Linked DNA regions of Diceros bicornis minor. The protein of the gene in region 1 interacts with the protein of each later gene in a biochemical or structural test. Links are inferred from orthologs where the notes say so. Each region holds a gene or a part of one and is shown in the gene's direction. Other genes may lie near its edges.

Evidence for each region. The genes of interacting proteins can lie anywhere in the genome.
Region 2: the proteins of STAT1 (region 1) and MCM5 form a complex in vitro, tested with the Homo sapiens proteins (2 studies listed by BioGRID). The link is inferred for Diceros bicornis minor from reciprocal best matches to the Homo sapiens genes STAT1 and MCM5.

Annotation. Positions count from the first base shown.
Region 1 is NC_080749.1:69,837,919-69,845,501, reverse strand, and holds the start of STAT1 (signal transducer and activator of transcription 1-alpha/beta), read left to right. Parts: upstream 1-4,567; 5' UTR 4,568-4,715; intron 4,716-4,729; exon of another isoform or gene 4,730-4,822; intron 4,823-5,033; 5' UTR 5,034-5,190; intron 5,191-7,583. UniProt on the Homo sapiens protein: Signal transducer and transcription activator that mediates cellular responses to interferons (IFNs), cytokine KITLG/SCF and other cytokines and other growth factors.
Region 2 is NC_080764.1:14,204,293-14,211,626, reverse strand, and holds the start of MCM5 (DNA replication licensing factor MCM5), read left to right. Parts: upstream 1-4,316; 5' UTR 4,317-4,371; intron 4,372-4,597; 5' UTR 4,598-4,605; coding exon 4,606-4,772; intron 4,773-6,229; coding exon 6,230-6,356; intron 6,357-6,437; coding exon 6,438-6,566; intron 6,567-7,334. Other genes in the region: HMOX1 (heme oxygenase 1), read left to right, coding at 855-985. UniProt on the Homo sapiens protein: Acts as a component of the MCM2-7 complex (MCM complex) which is the replicative helicase essential for 'once per cell cycle' DNA replication initiation and elongation in eukaryotic cells.

The DNA of each region.
Region 1 (7,583 bases):
ATTTGAGCTGCTGTTTTAAAACAGACCAAGGCGGTAAAGACAGAACACAGAGCTAGTAAGTTTTTCATGGGGATGCAGTAAAGACATAGAGGATAGTGCGTTACTCAGGGATGAGAGACCCCAAGGAAAATATTCATGGTGTGGGGAGGCCAACCAGCCTGTACCACTTGAGAAATTTTGTTTTAGATTCAGTAGTAGGATGCTTTGCTTCCCCCTATGAGATCTGTATCAGTGATCTATTGCTCCATAACAAACCAAACTACCCCCAAAACTCAGTGGGGTTAAGACAACAACCATTTATCATTGCTTGTGACTCCAAGGTGGCTGCGCAGTTCTGCTCATCTGGGTGAGGCTGTCTCATCTTGCCTGGGCTCTCTCACAAGTCTGAGGCCTAAGCCCTCACAGCTCCTCGACTCAGCTATGGTTTGCGTGCTCTCTCATCCTGCAGTGGGCTAGTCTGACTCGCCACAGAAGCAGGGCAGGGCTCTAGGAGTGGAGTATGTAAGGCTCCTGGAGGCCTAGGCTCAGAATGACAGTGTCACGTCTGCTGCGTAATATTGGTCAAAGCAAGTCACAAGCCAGCCCAGATTCAAGGAGTGGGGAAATAGTCCTCATCTTTTACTGGAAGGAGCCACATAGTCACATTGCAAAAGCGTGTGAATACAGGGAAGGGAATAATGTGGCCGTTATTGAAAACAATCTACCAGGAGATCCTTCCTAATTTCTTGTAAAGAGAATTATGTAACTGATAATATCTATCTTTTTGCTTTGACTTGTTGGCTGCATTGTATTCTTTATATTTATATTTCTAGTTATAAATATAATTAAATAAATACAACTGGGTGATTGGGAATAAAAGGATGAATGAAGAATAGGAATGATACTGTCTTTTCTCCCAGCAAAAATAAATTGCTCCAAATGGGAAGTCTGGGTTTCTAAGAGTCTTTCCACTGTAACATCATGTGAATTTATGAGTTACTCCAGTGCCTTCAATTACTCATAAAATGTGGTTTCTAGACGCCACGCCATCCTTGACTCTCCTTTGAATATACACCAGTTGAAGGATGGCAAGTAGCAAGTTTCACCTTACCTGCCTTTCTGATTGATTGCTAGTGAGTAACTAGATGCAGTGTTGAGAAGTATTCAGAAGTTGGGCCCTGGCAACAAAGACTACCCTGTCATTTGTTTTTGATTTTTTTTTAAACCCAATACAGGTATTTGCATTTGCTGTTTTAAGTTTTATCCAGTTGGTTTCAGCCCAGCAGCATTCTAGCCTAAGATAATTTAGAATTTTGATTCTGTCATCTATGAATTAGTCAGCTATTTCAGTGGCAAAAAACAAAACAAAACAAAACTCAGTGACTTATAACAATGACAACAAACAAATACGTCTCACTCATGGGTGTGTGGGTGGGGTGTGGCAGTTCTGCCCCAGGTGGCAGGTTCAAGGGTGCTCCACACATCTCTCCTTCCAGGACTCAGGCTGGAGGAGCAGTGGCTGCCTGACCACGGCTCCCAGCACAGGGCTGGAGTGCACAAGCACAAGCCCATCACACAGAGCGTACGGAGTCTTAGCTCAGCTGGAGGGTACATCACATCTCACATTCCATCAGTCAGAGCAAGTCACACGGCCAAGATCAGAGTCAGTGCACGGGGAGGGACCCGCCACTCTTGGTGAGCCACGGCAAGGAGCGGGAAGGGAAAGAAAAAATGTGAAAAATAATACAATCTACCAGACGTGGTATTAGCTATTTTTTCTCGGTGTGTGTCTTTTGCAAAGTTGACACTTGTTGGTATAGAGATATAGCTGACTGCTCTAAGGGGGCCATCATGCATTTGGCTCTGTCATTTCTGGATCTCTAGTTTTTTGTTTGGTTTGGTTTTTGATTTGGTTGCCCTTTAAGCAGTCAGTATGTTCAACAGTCACACTTATAAAATATAGTTTGTCTTCCAGGAACTTAGAATCTTGGAGGGATAAGATTTGGACACTTCAAAAACCATAATGTAAGGGAGTGTATGGTGATTGTCAACTTAAATAGAGGCATTTATATATCACATTATTTCAGAGACCAGATTGATCACCACAGGTTGAGGTGGTTCCAGAAGGAGACTATAGGATTTGGGCATGGTTTTAGAAGTTGGGTAAGGATTTGATAAGTGAGGGGAGTAGAAGGCAGGACTTGCCATTTCCTATGTACAATGCTTGCCAAGAGTATGTGCAAAGGGGCAGAAACAGGAAAATTAAAAGCATGGGGGGAGAGTTTAGTTGGGTAATGGGACAATGGGAGACAAGACTGGAAAGAAAGGTAGGGACGTTCTGTGGAGGATCCAGACTAGCAGACAAAGTTTGTGTTTATCATAAATGCAATGAGAGTTGTCAAGACTTTGGGAAGGGAATGATTGTACAAATGTGGTGTTTTAGAGAATTTAATTTGGCAAATATAGTGGAGGGGGAAGGGACGGGAAGAAGGTCGTCTGCCTGGTGTCTATTGTAGCATTCCAGTTCTGAAGTGATGAAGGTATACAGTAGGGTATTGCCAATGATGGTAAAACTCAGGAGGATCAAGGCATAGGGAAGGGAGCATCCATTCGAACTTGATGACAATCAGAATGTGGAGAGCTCAAGAGAAACATCCTATTTGCAGTTGTTAAGATTACTTAATTCCCCCATCAGTATTGAAGCTAGTCTCTGTGCAAGTTTTACCGTACCAGAAAACAAATTTTTTAACATATTATCTACCCTTCCTAAAGTCAGCTTTTCTCAAACATTGTCTCAGCCCTTAGTGCAGGTGAGTAGGAGGAGAAGGGCTCTTTTCTGGTGGCCTAGCATCTCTTTTCACAGAAGGTTGCTACTCTGGTACCAAGGGTCATTGTTAACACCAGTTCAGTACTGGCTTTGTGAGGGTGAATATGTGACAACAAGAAGGAGTGTATTGACGTGGGAAGAGAAAAAACTATGACAGACACTCATATAAGCATATCCCTGGGAAATTATTTAGATCCTTTTCCTATGCAAAGTTGCCTTATTATTCAAGGCTTGATTCGAGTTCCATCTACTTGAAGGAACCAATTGATTTTATGGGCGTACATTCCAAGATCAGGTCTAGGCTGGCCTCGGGGATGCCTACCTGGGGAAGTGACCTTTAAGATGAGATTTTAGCTAACACATAAAAGATGAGTTAGCCAGCAAACAAGTTGGGGGAGGTAGATTGTTGGTCAAGGGGCTTTCCAAATGGAGAACTGCTGGTGAGAAGGCCCTGAGTGTGGGGAAAGAGCTTGGCTTATTTGAAGAACAAAAATGCTGAAGTAAGGAGAGAAAAGAGTGGCACGAGATGGGGATGGAGAAAGTGATAGGGAACCAGGGCTTTGTGGGCTATCTTAAGAAATTTGGAATTTTAAGAAAAACCATCATAGGAGGTTTCAAGGCACACACATGATTTGCTTTGCAATTAGGAAAAAAAAAATCACTCAAACTGCTGTATGGAGAATGGACTGAAAGGGAGTTGAGAGCTGAAGTGAGGCAGCCATTGGGAATCTCCTGCAATAATCCTAATGAGAGAAAAAGGGGTGGTGGGGGGGTGGCATAAGAGATGGAGAGAAGAGATAAGACTTGTGAAATATTTAGGAGGAAGAATCAACAAGGCTTGAGGACCAGGTGTACGGGTGAGAAGGCAATTTGAAAGATGACTCTTAGTTTTCTGGTATGTGCCATTTCTAGCAAAAGGGCAGATTTGAGGAGAAAGATGATGAGTTGGTTCTGAACATAACTAGTTTGGGGAGCTTACCAGACATCCAGTGGAGAGTCAAGTGGGGGCTGTACACGTGGGTGTGGAGCTCGGAGGAGAGGTGTGGACAGGATACACATGTGGAAGCTCTCCCAATACAGAAGGAAATTGAAGCTGTGGGTAAGGTCATCACAGGTCTGCGTGAGAAGTGTAGGAAAAGCAGACCAAGATCTGGACTCGGACAACACTTACCATTGAACGGTTTGGTAGTGGAGGTGGAGCAGAGATGGAGCAAGAATGCCGAAGAGGTAGGAAGAAGCAAAGAGGATGTGTCGTCATCATGGCCAAGGAAGAAGTGTTAAAGGATGGAGGGTCAACTGTGCCAAATGTTTCTGAGCGGTCAAGTAAGGTGAGCACAGAAAGCGTCCACTGAATTTAGCAACATGGAGATCAGCTGCCAAGCTAAGCTTCTAGAATGACAACGTGCCCACCTGTGTCCTCTGCCTCGGGTTCTCAAATATGGGGCTAATCCAGGGATCCCCAAGTATGGGCCTCTGCAAACAAAGAACTTCCTTTTAGTCGTTCTCTAAAATATGTAAACATAACCACCAGTCCGCCAAGTTGCAACACAAAGATGAACTGCACGTCACCCACGTGGGGACTCTGCCGGAAGGCTATGGAAGGAGCTAGCGGGTTGGCTGCGTCCCGGTCCCCGGGGGGAGGCGGCGCACCCGCGGAACAGCCGCGTCCGATTGGCCGAGCGCGGCAGCCGCCCGGTGATTGGCGGAGGCGGAAGGAGGCGGGGCGCCGGGCGCGGCCTTTTCTCCCGCTGGTACTTTCCCTTTCCTGCGCCGAGTCCGCTGCGGAGGGGCCCGGCCGCGCCCAGACGACCCCTGTCAGACCCCAGACGGAGCAGAGGCGACCCAGCGCCCCCCCGGGAGAGGCAGCACCGCCGCGCCCCTGCCCACCCTGCCCGATCAGGCGCGCAGAGTGAGTGGCCGTGGGGTTCCGGGTGCCTGGGTGGGGCGCGCCGAGGCCGGCGTCGTGGGGGCCGGGCAGCCGGACGCCGGGTGAGGACCGGCCTGCAGTGCTGACAGGTGAGTCCGTCATCCCGGAAAGAACGCGTCCCGAATATCCCAGGTGCTGTCCGCCGTGATGGTGCGGCTGCCCCTGCCTGTCGTGCTCTGGCGGTAAGAATGTCTTGCAAAACAGAATTTTTCGCCAAAAAACATTGCACCTCCCCGTTTACCCTCACTTTTCCCACCTTCCCGCCCCTTGCCACCACAGTCACGTTTTTTCTTTCCGCAGAAAGTTTTCGTTTGCGGTGTGCCACCTCCAGAGAGCTATCAAGGTTAGGCGCTGGCGCCCTGTGCGTGCAAACCTAACAGTGTTGACGTCTGACGTGCTGTGTGTAGCTCCTGCTTGGGTTGAAACCCCAGCCCTTCGCTGGGGCACAAGGTGACAGGTCAGTAAATGTTCGTGGAAATGAATGAATGAGTGCATGGCTTTGGAACTTAATTATATATCTGTGTTTAAGGATGAAGGAGCTTAGTGTGTTCCTGGAATATAGAAGTGATATTTAGTTCTTGCAAACCCCCAAATAATATAATTAGTCTTTAAAGAAAAATTCTGAGTAGTACCGAAGAGTTGGGGGTAAATATGTAGGTGTGTGGTTGATTGTGCTTTGGATGTTGTTTGTATCAGTTGGAGAGGTTGTTTTTAGGGGACAGAAACAAGACTTGAGCCTCCAGCACAATCTAATATGCAACCATTGCTTCATGAGGATGCAGGACTCAAAGTTGAACCATAATGTTGTTTGCCCTTTACTTTTTAATTCAATTTGCAATATATTAGATTTCAATTCAACGAACTATTATTGAGTACATACTATGTGCAGGACACTGTCCAAGGTGCAGAGGATGTTTAGAAAAATGTATGGTCCCGGCAACTCTGGAGCTTACATCGTGCAGGGGAGATATCATAGAGCTTTCTAAGGAAGATGGGGACTGATGCTCTAATAGCAATGAGGCACAGGTCAAAGAGAGCTTAATTGTCTCTCGGTGAGCTTCTGACAGCTTTATGGAAGAAGAGGCATTTGTCCCTACCTTTGAATGCCGGTAAGATTTAGAGAGGCAGAAATTTATGGGGAGGCTGTTTTCAGGGTGAGTGACAGCTGGAGCAAAGCAGAAATGTTGGGCATAGCCGAAAAACCATAGATAGTTTGGTGACTGGGTTGCTTTGTTGATGGATGAAAATGGGATCAGGGTGGAAATCAGCCTAGGAATTGGCAAATGATTTGAGCAAGAGAGTGATGTGGTCCAACCTGTGTGCAGCAGGGGCTGGATTGGGAAATAGTGTTGGAGGCAGAGAGGTAGGAGGTCTTGGGACTGGAGAGGAAGGAGTCAACCCTAAGTTTGGGATTTGAGCCAGGTGATTAGGGGTGGTCATGCCACTCACTGGTTTTGTGAGAAGATAGGTGGATTCTGGATTTGTTAACATGAGTTTATTATCACCTGCTCTGTGCCAGGCACCGTGTCTGTGCTCACCTACTCTCAATAGGGAAGTGTGTCACCTGAGGTCACTCACCTAACAAGAGGTGTTGCAGCCCCGCTGGCTGATACTCTGGTCAGCATATTTGTTTTAGGCACATCTTTATCAGGCACCTAGCAGGGAGGGAGAGAGCCGCAGATTTGGAGTCTTCCACTCCGGTGAAATAAATTTGAAGTGAAACATCAAATTTCTACAGCAAGTGTGCCAACGGGGTGGGCTTGGGTCCATTTCTACTGGTATTTGTGATGGTCACTAGCTTTATAGTCCCACCACATCCTTACCCTCCTTTGGAAGGAAATTTATGGAGTAGACATGACTTTATGCCTGCATATGTGTGCTCACCGGCAAGTGTGCACACCCACTTCCATGCCATGCTTGCAAATCCAGAGCCCTTCCTCAGAGGCCTGGTAGGACAAGATTCACTTATGTCTGCAGTGAATATTGCCAGTCTTGCGTTGATGCAAATCCTGAGTTGCGCTACGGTGACGGGAGGCTCTTCATTTTCCTAATGGATGTTTAGGACTTTCTTAAATCACATTTTTGTTTTTTTTATCTTTGGAACTACAATGTAAAAATTGACTTATAGTTATCTAAAGAGATAGTATTACTTTATCCTTTCAAATTACGTTTAACAATGCTGTTTCAACCTTTAAAAATTATTATTGAAATTTAAGACTTTTTGTGCTGAATTTATTGTTTGCAGTAGGCAAAGAAGAAAATATATCTCTTTTAAAAGGTATATAACAAAAATCATTTCATATATGAATCATAAAATATAAAACACTTGTTTAAAATTCTTTGAGTTAGGGGGCGGCCCGGTGGCGCAGCGGTTAAGTGCATGGCGCTCTGCTGTGGCAGCCTGGGGTTCGCAGGTTCAGATCCCGGGCGTGCACCGACACACCGCCTGTCAAGCCATGCTGTGGCGGCGTCCCATATAAAGTAGAGGAAGATGGACACGGATGTTAGCCCGGGGCCAGTCTTCCTCAGCAAACAAAGAGGAGGATTGGCATCGGATGTTAGCTCAGGGCTGATCTTCCTCACACACACACAAAAAAACTCTTTGAGTTAAATTACAAATGCATTGTAATTTGTAAGAGAGCAATTTTTTGAGAGTTCCTATGATTTGTTCTAAAGCAAATCTGATTAAATAATGCTTTCCATTTATTTATTTGATAAAAGTGCAGATTCATTTTAACGGCATATTTATTAAACACCTCCTGTGTGCCGGGCACTATTCTGGAGATGCAGCAGTGAGCAAACCCCCCCAAATCCTTCCCTTCATGTGGGGAAAACAGACAGTAATCAAAG
Region 2 (7,334 bases), on another chromosome or scaffold:
GGCGGTTGAGTTGGTTTCTCGTTCACTGGCTCAGAAGGGGAGACTTGCACACAAAGGACCTGGGAAGTCATGGGCAAAGCCCTGCCCTCGGTTAATTTAGGTTTTTTGGGGGGCCCTGTAATAGTTCCTAAGCAGAGATACCCTGATGTGGGGCAGGGAGACCAGGACTGTTGCTAGCTATTATTCCACCACGGAAGGCTAGGAAGACACATAACCTCTGAGTCTCGTCTCACGTGAGTCCCTGCCTCACATGCCTCAGAGAGCTATTGAGGCTGTGGCTGTGCTGGGAGAATATCTGGGAAACTTCCAGAAACACTAAAGTGCTCCACAAAATGCACCATCTCCCGTGGGCGGGAGTGTGGCTCTGGGAGTAGAGGAGGGGAGAGGGGTGAGTGAAGCTCAGCCGCCAGCTTGGCGGGTTACTTTAGGCCTTCGCTCCTGGTGCCACCCTACCCCACCTGGCCCTGTGTCTTTCCCACGTGTGCCAGGACCACATGGACCCCTCTGTTGGTGGGATTGTGCCCCGGAGCGTTGGAATGTGGCCAGTCCTGATGGGATTGGCCACCTGGTGGGCTGAGGGGACTTGGTCCTAATGCAGCAGTTCTCACAGTGTGGTCCCTTGGGGTACCCCTGGAGGGTACTTGCTCACAGTGTGGGCTGGCTGAAAATGGAAGGAGTGCACGGCTTGGAGCAGTAGTAAGCTCCCTGTCGTGGGAGGTATTCAAGCAGTGGCTGGGGGGCTACCTGTTGGTGTTCTAGCATTGAGTGGGGACTGTCCTGCTGTGTTTTTCTGTGACATTAGACACCCCACTTCTGTCCACCTGTTGCTGACACTGCCCCCCTTTCTCTTGCAGACTCTACTCCCACGGAGACCCCCGGGGGGAAGCTCCCTCTCAACATCCTCTCCCAGGTGCCGCTGGTCCGGTGGGTCCTCACACTCAGCTTTCTGGTGGCGACGGTGGCCGTGGGGCTCTACGCCATGTGAATGCCAGCGTGCTGCCTCCTGGGAGCCGTGAACTCTCACCAACGGAAGGCCTCTTTCTGGAGAGGGAGAATCTCTTGGCTGGCTTCCTTACCTTGGGCACGGGGGCTGTCGGGCCCCCACCCTCTCCCTGCGTCCCTCTCTCTCTGGAAAGCAAGGAGCCTGTGGTGGCTTCCCCAGCCAAAAGCGCAGCCAGCTGCATGATCTGAACTTTTGAAGCGGGCCGAGGGGTCCCGCCAGCCCCTCAGCATCCCCGTTCCTGCAGCAGAGCCCAGAAGACGTGGCCCACGGAGGCAGCTCTCCTCACCTCCAGATGCCCTGGGTTCACGGTCTCCTCGCTGATGTGCCGTGCCCGCTGTGCCCGCGGCCCATGGCAGTTTTTACATAAATGTGCAAAGATGTTGTGTCTCGTGTGTCTGTCTTGTTTTTGTTGGAGCCACTTTTTGTTCCCGGCTCAGCCTGAACTGGGGATTTTTGTTGTGTTCTCATGTTTTTATAGCAGGGTTGGGGTGGGTTTGGGGGGAGCGGGAGGGGGTGCAGAGGGAGGTGTTTAACAGCACTGTGGCCTTGGTCTCTAACTTGTGTGTGAAATAATAAAGGATACTGCCTGATAGTAACTCGGAGTGTTTTTCTTGGGCTCTGTTACCCTTGGGGAACAGACCTTCTCGTTGCTTGTTTCTTGACTGCCTGCTGGGGAGACGTGGTGAGGGTGCTGGTGGCAGGAGCTGGTTTTGGACCTTGTGCTCTGTTCTGAGAACGTTGGTGGGTGAGCTTTAAGCTGTTGGTGGGCGAATCTTTGTGGCAAACCCCGCTCGACGTGAGGCTCAGCTTTACCGAGGATGGGATTGCCCCGTGAGGCTGAAATGAGCAGATTCTGGGATAAAATTTGTGTGTCCCGCACGATAAATCTTAAAGACTTGAGATCCTGGGTTCAAATTCCCGTTCCTCCACATTGTAGCTCTGCCTTGGAGGTTAGTTATTAACTTCCCTGGGACTCAGTTCTGTCACCTGTAGCATGAACACAGTGAGACCCACTTCACCTGCTTGTTGTGAGAAGCAAATGAGATGCAGGTAAGATGCCAACCTCATACCACAAGAGCTCCTATTGTGAAACAATGGAGATCAGTTTTTTGTGAATTTTGCCTAGTGATTTTTTTTTTTTTTTTGAGGAAGATGGGCCCTGAGCTAGCATCTGTGCCCATCTTCCTCTATTTTGTATGTAGGACGACGCCACAGCATGGCTTGATGAGTGGTTTGTAGGTCCGTGCCCAGGATCCGAACCCGGGACCCCCGGGCTGCCAAAGTGGAGTGCGTGAACTTAACCACTACACCACTGGGCCAGCCCCTGCCAAGTGATTCTTGTCCTGTGAGAGTCACCTCTCCTCTGTCATCTCATTTAATCTTCACAGCAAACCTGACAGGGGTGTTACCACTCTGAGGGGCAGGAAGGATTTAACCCAGGTCTGTCCGGCCCTAAAACTCAAGCCTTTTCCATGAAGTCACGCAAGCCACTGAAACACTAAATATGCAGCCTCCCACTCTGGGAAAGTGAAACCCCTTACTGAAGGTGGAGTTGGGACAGCAGGGGACAAAGGGTTTCCTTATACCAGTAGGAAGCGAGGACCGGGAGTCAGGAGACCTTGATCCCCAGACTTGGCTTGGTCACTAAGTCTGGAAACTTGGATGTCACTTCAAGTCTTTGTTCATTGGCAAAGAGAACAATACGCCTGCCTCCCACAGCTGGTGGGAGGGCCCAGTGGTGACCAAACACCAGCGGATGTGGCATCGGAATCACTCGGGGAATTCGGGTCCCACCCCGGGAGGTTCTGACTCTGGAGCCCTTGACGGGACTCTGGAATTCTGTTCACGGAGAGCTTCCACCGTGCGGCCAGGTCCTGGGGCCACTTCAAGAGGTGATGGCCAGAGAGCAGGCTTCAGACAGCAGCCACAGCTCTCCCCACCTGGGCCCAGTTTCCAGAGCTTTCTGTGAATGGGGCATCCATATTCATTGTTAGTCGTGACAAAGAAAGGAAGGAAGGGGGCGGGCGAGAGAAACCATCTAGAATTCTACCAACAGGAAAATGGCCCAATAATTTATATCCTATTCCTACTACGGAAAACACAGCAGCTTGTTAAACAGAATGTGTTAAATCTGTCTCTCCGCTCAGGGGGACTTCCGTGAAGAAAATGAGCAAAGCCAGTTTCAGATTCATTTGATATAATTTTTACACACTGTAAAAATACACATAGTTTGAACACATAAATCTATGTTTGTGTGGATGTGACCAAGAGGGTAAAAAGTTCTTTCCAGTTTTTTGGGGGGTGGGAAGGGAAAAGAAGGGAGGGGAGATGATGTGGTCCCTGTTGCAGCTGGAGAATGCATCGAGTTTTGCCAAATCTTCTTGCTTTTCAAGCTAGGTTGGGGATCTGGTCATGAATTTTCACAAATTTTAAGCACTACCAGGTAATGCAAAATCTACAATAATAAAAAAAATCACCACTCGGATCTAAGAAAACATCCCTTGCGTCCCAAGTTTGGGACGATTTTGGTCCCAGAGGTGTTAGGGAGACCCGAGGTGACTTTTTTTCTGATAAACCTCCAACTTTTGGGCGAGTGTGTACCGGTAAGAGAACACGGGGCGGGGGTGCAGGGGGCTCACACTGCGCAAGCGCGTGCTTCTCTGAGGACTCATAGCTGCTTTTTTCTTTTTGTGAGGAAGATCAGCCCTGAGCTAACATCCATACTAATCCTCCTCTTTTTGCTGAGGACGACCCGCCTTGAGCTAAAATCTATTGCCAATCCTCCTCCTTTTTTTCCTGTTTTTTTCCCCAAAGCCCTAGTAGATAGTTGTATGTCATAGCTGCACATCCTTCTAGTTGCTGTAAGTGGGATGCAGCCTCAGGAGAAGCGGTGCCTCGTGGGCGCCCAGCGTCTGAACCAGGGCCGCCAGTAGCAGAGCGCCCGCACTTAACCGCTAAGCCACGGGCTGACCCCCATAGCTTCTGAACCCCGAGTTCTTACACCCCATGGCTCGGAAAGCGGCTACTTTACCCCAGTCCGCCCGCCCCGCCGCCATCTTCGCGCCCGCCCTGCCCCTTCCTCCCCTTTCAGAACTTTCGCGCCAAACCGGCCGACGCACAAAATGGAGCCCGGAAGGGGGCCAGGACTGACGTCAGGCGCCCCGCAGCCAATCCTCTTCAGCGGCCAGCCCGGGAGGCGGGGCTCGCGGGCTCAGAGCGGCCCAATCACTGGCCGCGCGGCCCCGGCGAACCAATGGGGGCGCAGCGGCCGCGGCGGGCGAAGGCGGGGTCTCGCTTTTCCCGCGAAAGTCGGCGGGGAAGTGTGGGGTGCTGGTTTGTCCCGGGCCGCGGAGTGCGGGAAGGGAGAGGTGAGGCCGGGGGCCTGGGGGCCGCGGAGCCGGCCCCGCGGGGGTCGACAGGCTCTGCATGTGGGGGCGCGGTAGGGGCGGGCGGGGCTTCTCCTGGGAGAGCTGGCGTGGGTGGGGTCCGGCGGGGAGCCGGGGTCGCCCAGCCGCCGGAGCCGAGGACCCCGGCGTCCGAGCGGAGGCGAGGCCGCGCCGCCCGGCCCGCTCCAGCGCTCTGTCCCCGCGCCAGGTGCAGTCATGTCGGGCTTCGACGACCCCGGCATTTTCTACAGCGACAGCTTCGGGGGCGACACCGCGGCCGACGAGGGGCACGCCCGCAAGTCGCAGCTGCAGAGGCGCTTCAAGGAGTTCCTGCGGCAGTACCGGGTGGGCACCGACCGCACCGGCTTCACCTTCAAATACAGGTGCGGGCTGGCGCGGGCCGGGAGAGGTGCGCCCCCAGCAGTGCCTGAGCGCTCAGCAGAGCCCCGCACCCCACTGGCCTATGGTTGTGTCCATTTTATCCCCGGTGTTAACTTGCCAGTGAGTCACCTGTTGAGTGGGCCGCTAGAGCCACTTGGGCCCTTTGGTTCTTCCTCTAGGTCTTCTTCCTGCTCATTTGCTTCGTGCTGTCCTCACATGTAGTGTCTGTGATGCCTTGTAAACTCAGGTTCACTGTGGGTGCGACCTGTGGGTGGTAGTTATGATCGACTTTGCTCGTTCATTCCTTGCCATTGGTAACTTCAGTGGATTGAGCGTCTGCTGCAGGCCAGGCCAGGCACTGTTCCAGGCACTGAATGAGCTGGGCAAGGTTGGACACTGTGCACCCTGTGACGTCATGCCGAATCCTTGTAGGCCCTTCAAGTGCAGAGAACATGAGTTTGCAGGTCCAGGCTTGGGCATGACCAGTTATTAGCTGAGTGGCTTCCGAGTGACCGTCTCTCTGGGCCTCAGTTTCTTCATCAGTAAAATGGGCTTAGCCACTCCTGCCTCTGTTTACTCACGCACCAGCTGACATGGACCACCTATGTGCCAGGCACCGTGCTGGGCACTGAGATACAAAGGTGAAAGATTCATTCTGTTTGCCCTCAAGAAGCTCATACATCAGTAGGAGCGAGGCATGGAGACCAGCAAATAAATTACAAGGTGATAGTCACCTCAAAGGAGAAATATAAAAGGAGTTAGGGAAGGCTTCCATGGAGCCCAAATTTGAGGTGATGCTTGAGCTGAGAGAATAGTTCAGGTGTGGAAGGCTTTCCGTATAGGAGCAGTTGCGTGCACGGGCAGAGGTACGGGGTGGCCTGTGATAGCAAGGGGCTCTCCGGGCCGGGCTCCTGGACATAAGGTGAAGGGGATGAGGCCTGAGAGAGGCTGAGGAGCAGGTTCTGCGTAGGTCGTGGTCCCCAAATGTGTTTTGGGGACAGTAGTCCCATGCGATGTTCTGTGAAAAGAGTCTGGTGGTTGACAAGACAGACATGGTCTCTGCTGTCTTCAGTCTCCGAGTTTGAGCTGTGTGCCTTGTTAACCTCCAAGAGAGAGTTAAAGCCTCCGAGTCCTGCAGTGAAAGCGCTGGTTTGCAGTGCGAGTTTCCTAAGCTCACCTGTGCGCAGAACCCTGTCTGAGCCATGCAGCATCCCTCGACTATCTGGTGGACCACTTCCACAGAGCTTTCTGTGGAGGGTGGCTCTGTCAGCGGCGGGGAGCCTCTGCAGGGTTAACTAACGGAACCACCTGGAATTCGATGTGTGTTTGGGAAGAGGGGTGGTGGGGCAGTGGCGGCCCCAGTGTGGGCAGATTTGGGGTGCGGGTGCACCTCAGCCAGCGTTGGTTTCCTCTTCTCCGCACCCTTCCCCGCCCCCACCCTGCCACCTGCCCCCTCCAGGGATGAACTCAAGCGGCATTACAATCTGGGGGAGTACTGGATCGAGGTGGAGATGGAGGACCTGGCCAGCTTCGACGAGGACCTGGCCGACTACTTGTACAAGCAGCCGGCTGAGCACTTGCAGCTGGTGAGTGGGACCCCATCCCTGAGCCCCTCAGGGCTGGTCCTGCTCTGGTCACTAACAGCGTGTCCCCTTCCTCCTCTCCAGCTGGAGGAAGCTGCCAAGGAGGTGGCTGATGAGGTGACCCGGCCCCGGCCCACTGGCGAGGAGGTGCTCCAAGACATCCAAGTCATGCTCAAGTCGGACGCCACCCCATCCAGCATTCGTAGCCTGAAGGTGGGTCTGCCTAGAGGCCAGGCGGAGGGTCAGGGGGCTGCTGCGTGGTGCGGAGGGCCTTCGGAGGTAGGTGGACCTGGGTGCCAGCTGTGTGAGCCCGAGCAGCTCACTCGACCTTTCTGAGCCTGTTTCCTCCTCTGTAAAATTAGTTCACTGGACACATGTTTCCTGAGCCCCTCCTGGGGCAAGGCAGTGAGTTGGGTCCTGGAGAAACAACGGTGAACTAGAGGACAAGCTCCTGTCCTCGCGGAGCTTCTGTCCCCTGGGGGAGACTGAGTAAACCCGTCACCGTCACTCACGATAATTTCAGATGATTGTCAGTGTGATGGAAGAAATCAAGAGGGTGATGAGAAAGTGTGGGGGCCCCTCTGGAAAGATAGAGAAGGCGTCTTCGAGGAGGTGACATCTGAGCGGAGAGCTGAGGATGAGGATGAGCAGCATGCAGACAGCTGGGAGCGAGCATTCGAGGGAGGTCGAGGGGCAGGTACAGCTAGTGCACAGCCTGAGAGGTGAGGAGGGCACGGTATGTTCGAGGTCGCGTTGCAGGACAGCCAGTGTGGCTACAGAGTGATGAGGAAGCAGGGGAGGTGGGCAGAGCCGGTCTGTCATCTAGGTTATCCCTTTTATTCAACAAATACTTCCTGAGTGGCTGCTACGCGCCAGGAGCTGGGCCTAGACCCTCACTATAAACAGACGGGCCCTTGTTCCCGTGGAGCTTATGGTGGGAGAAACAGACACGGGACATTGAGATGATTTCAGGTACGGTGA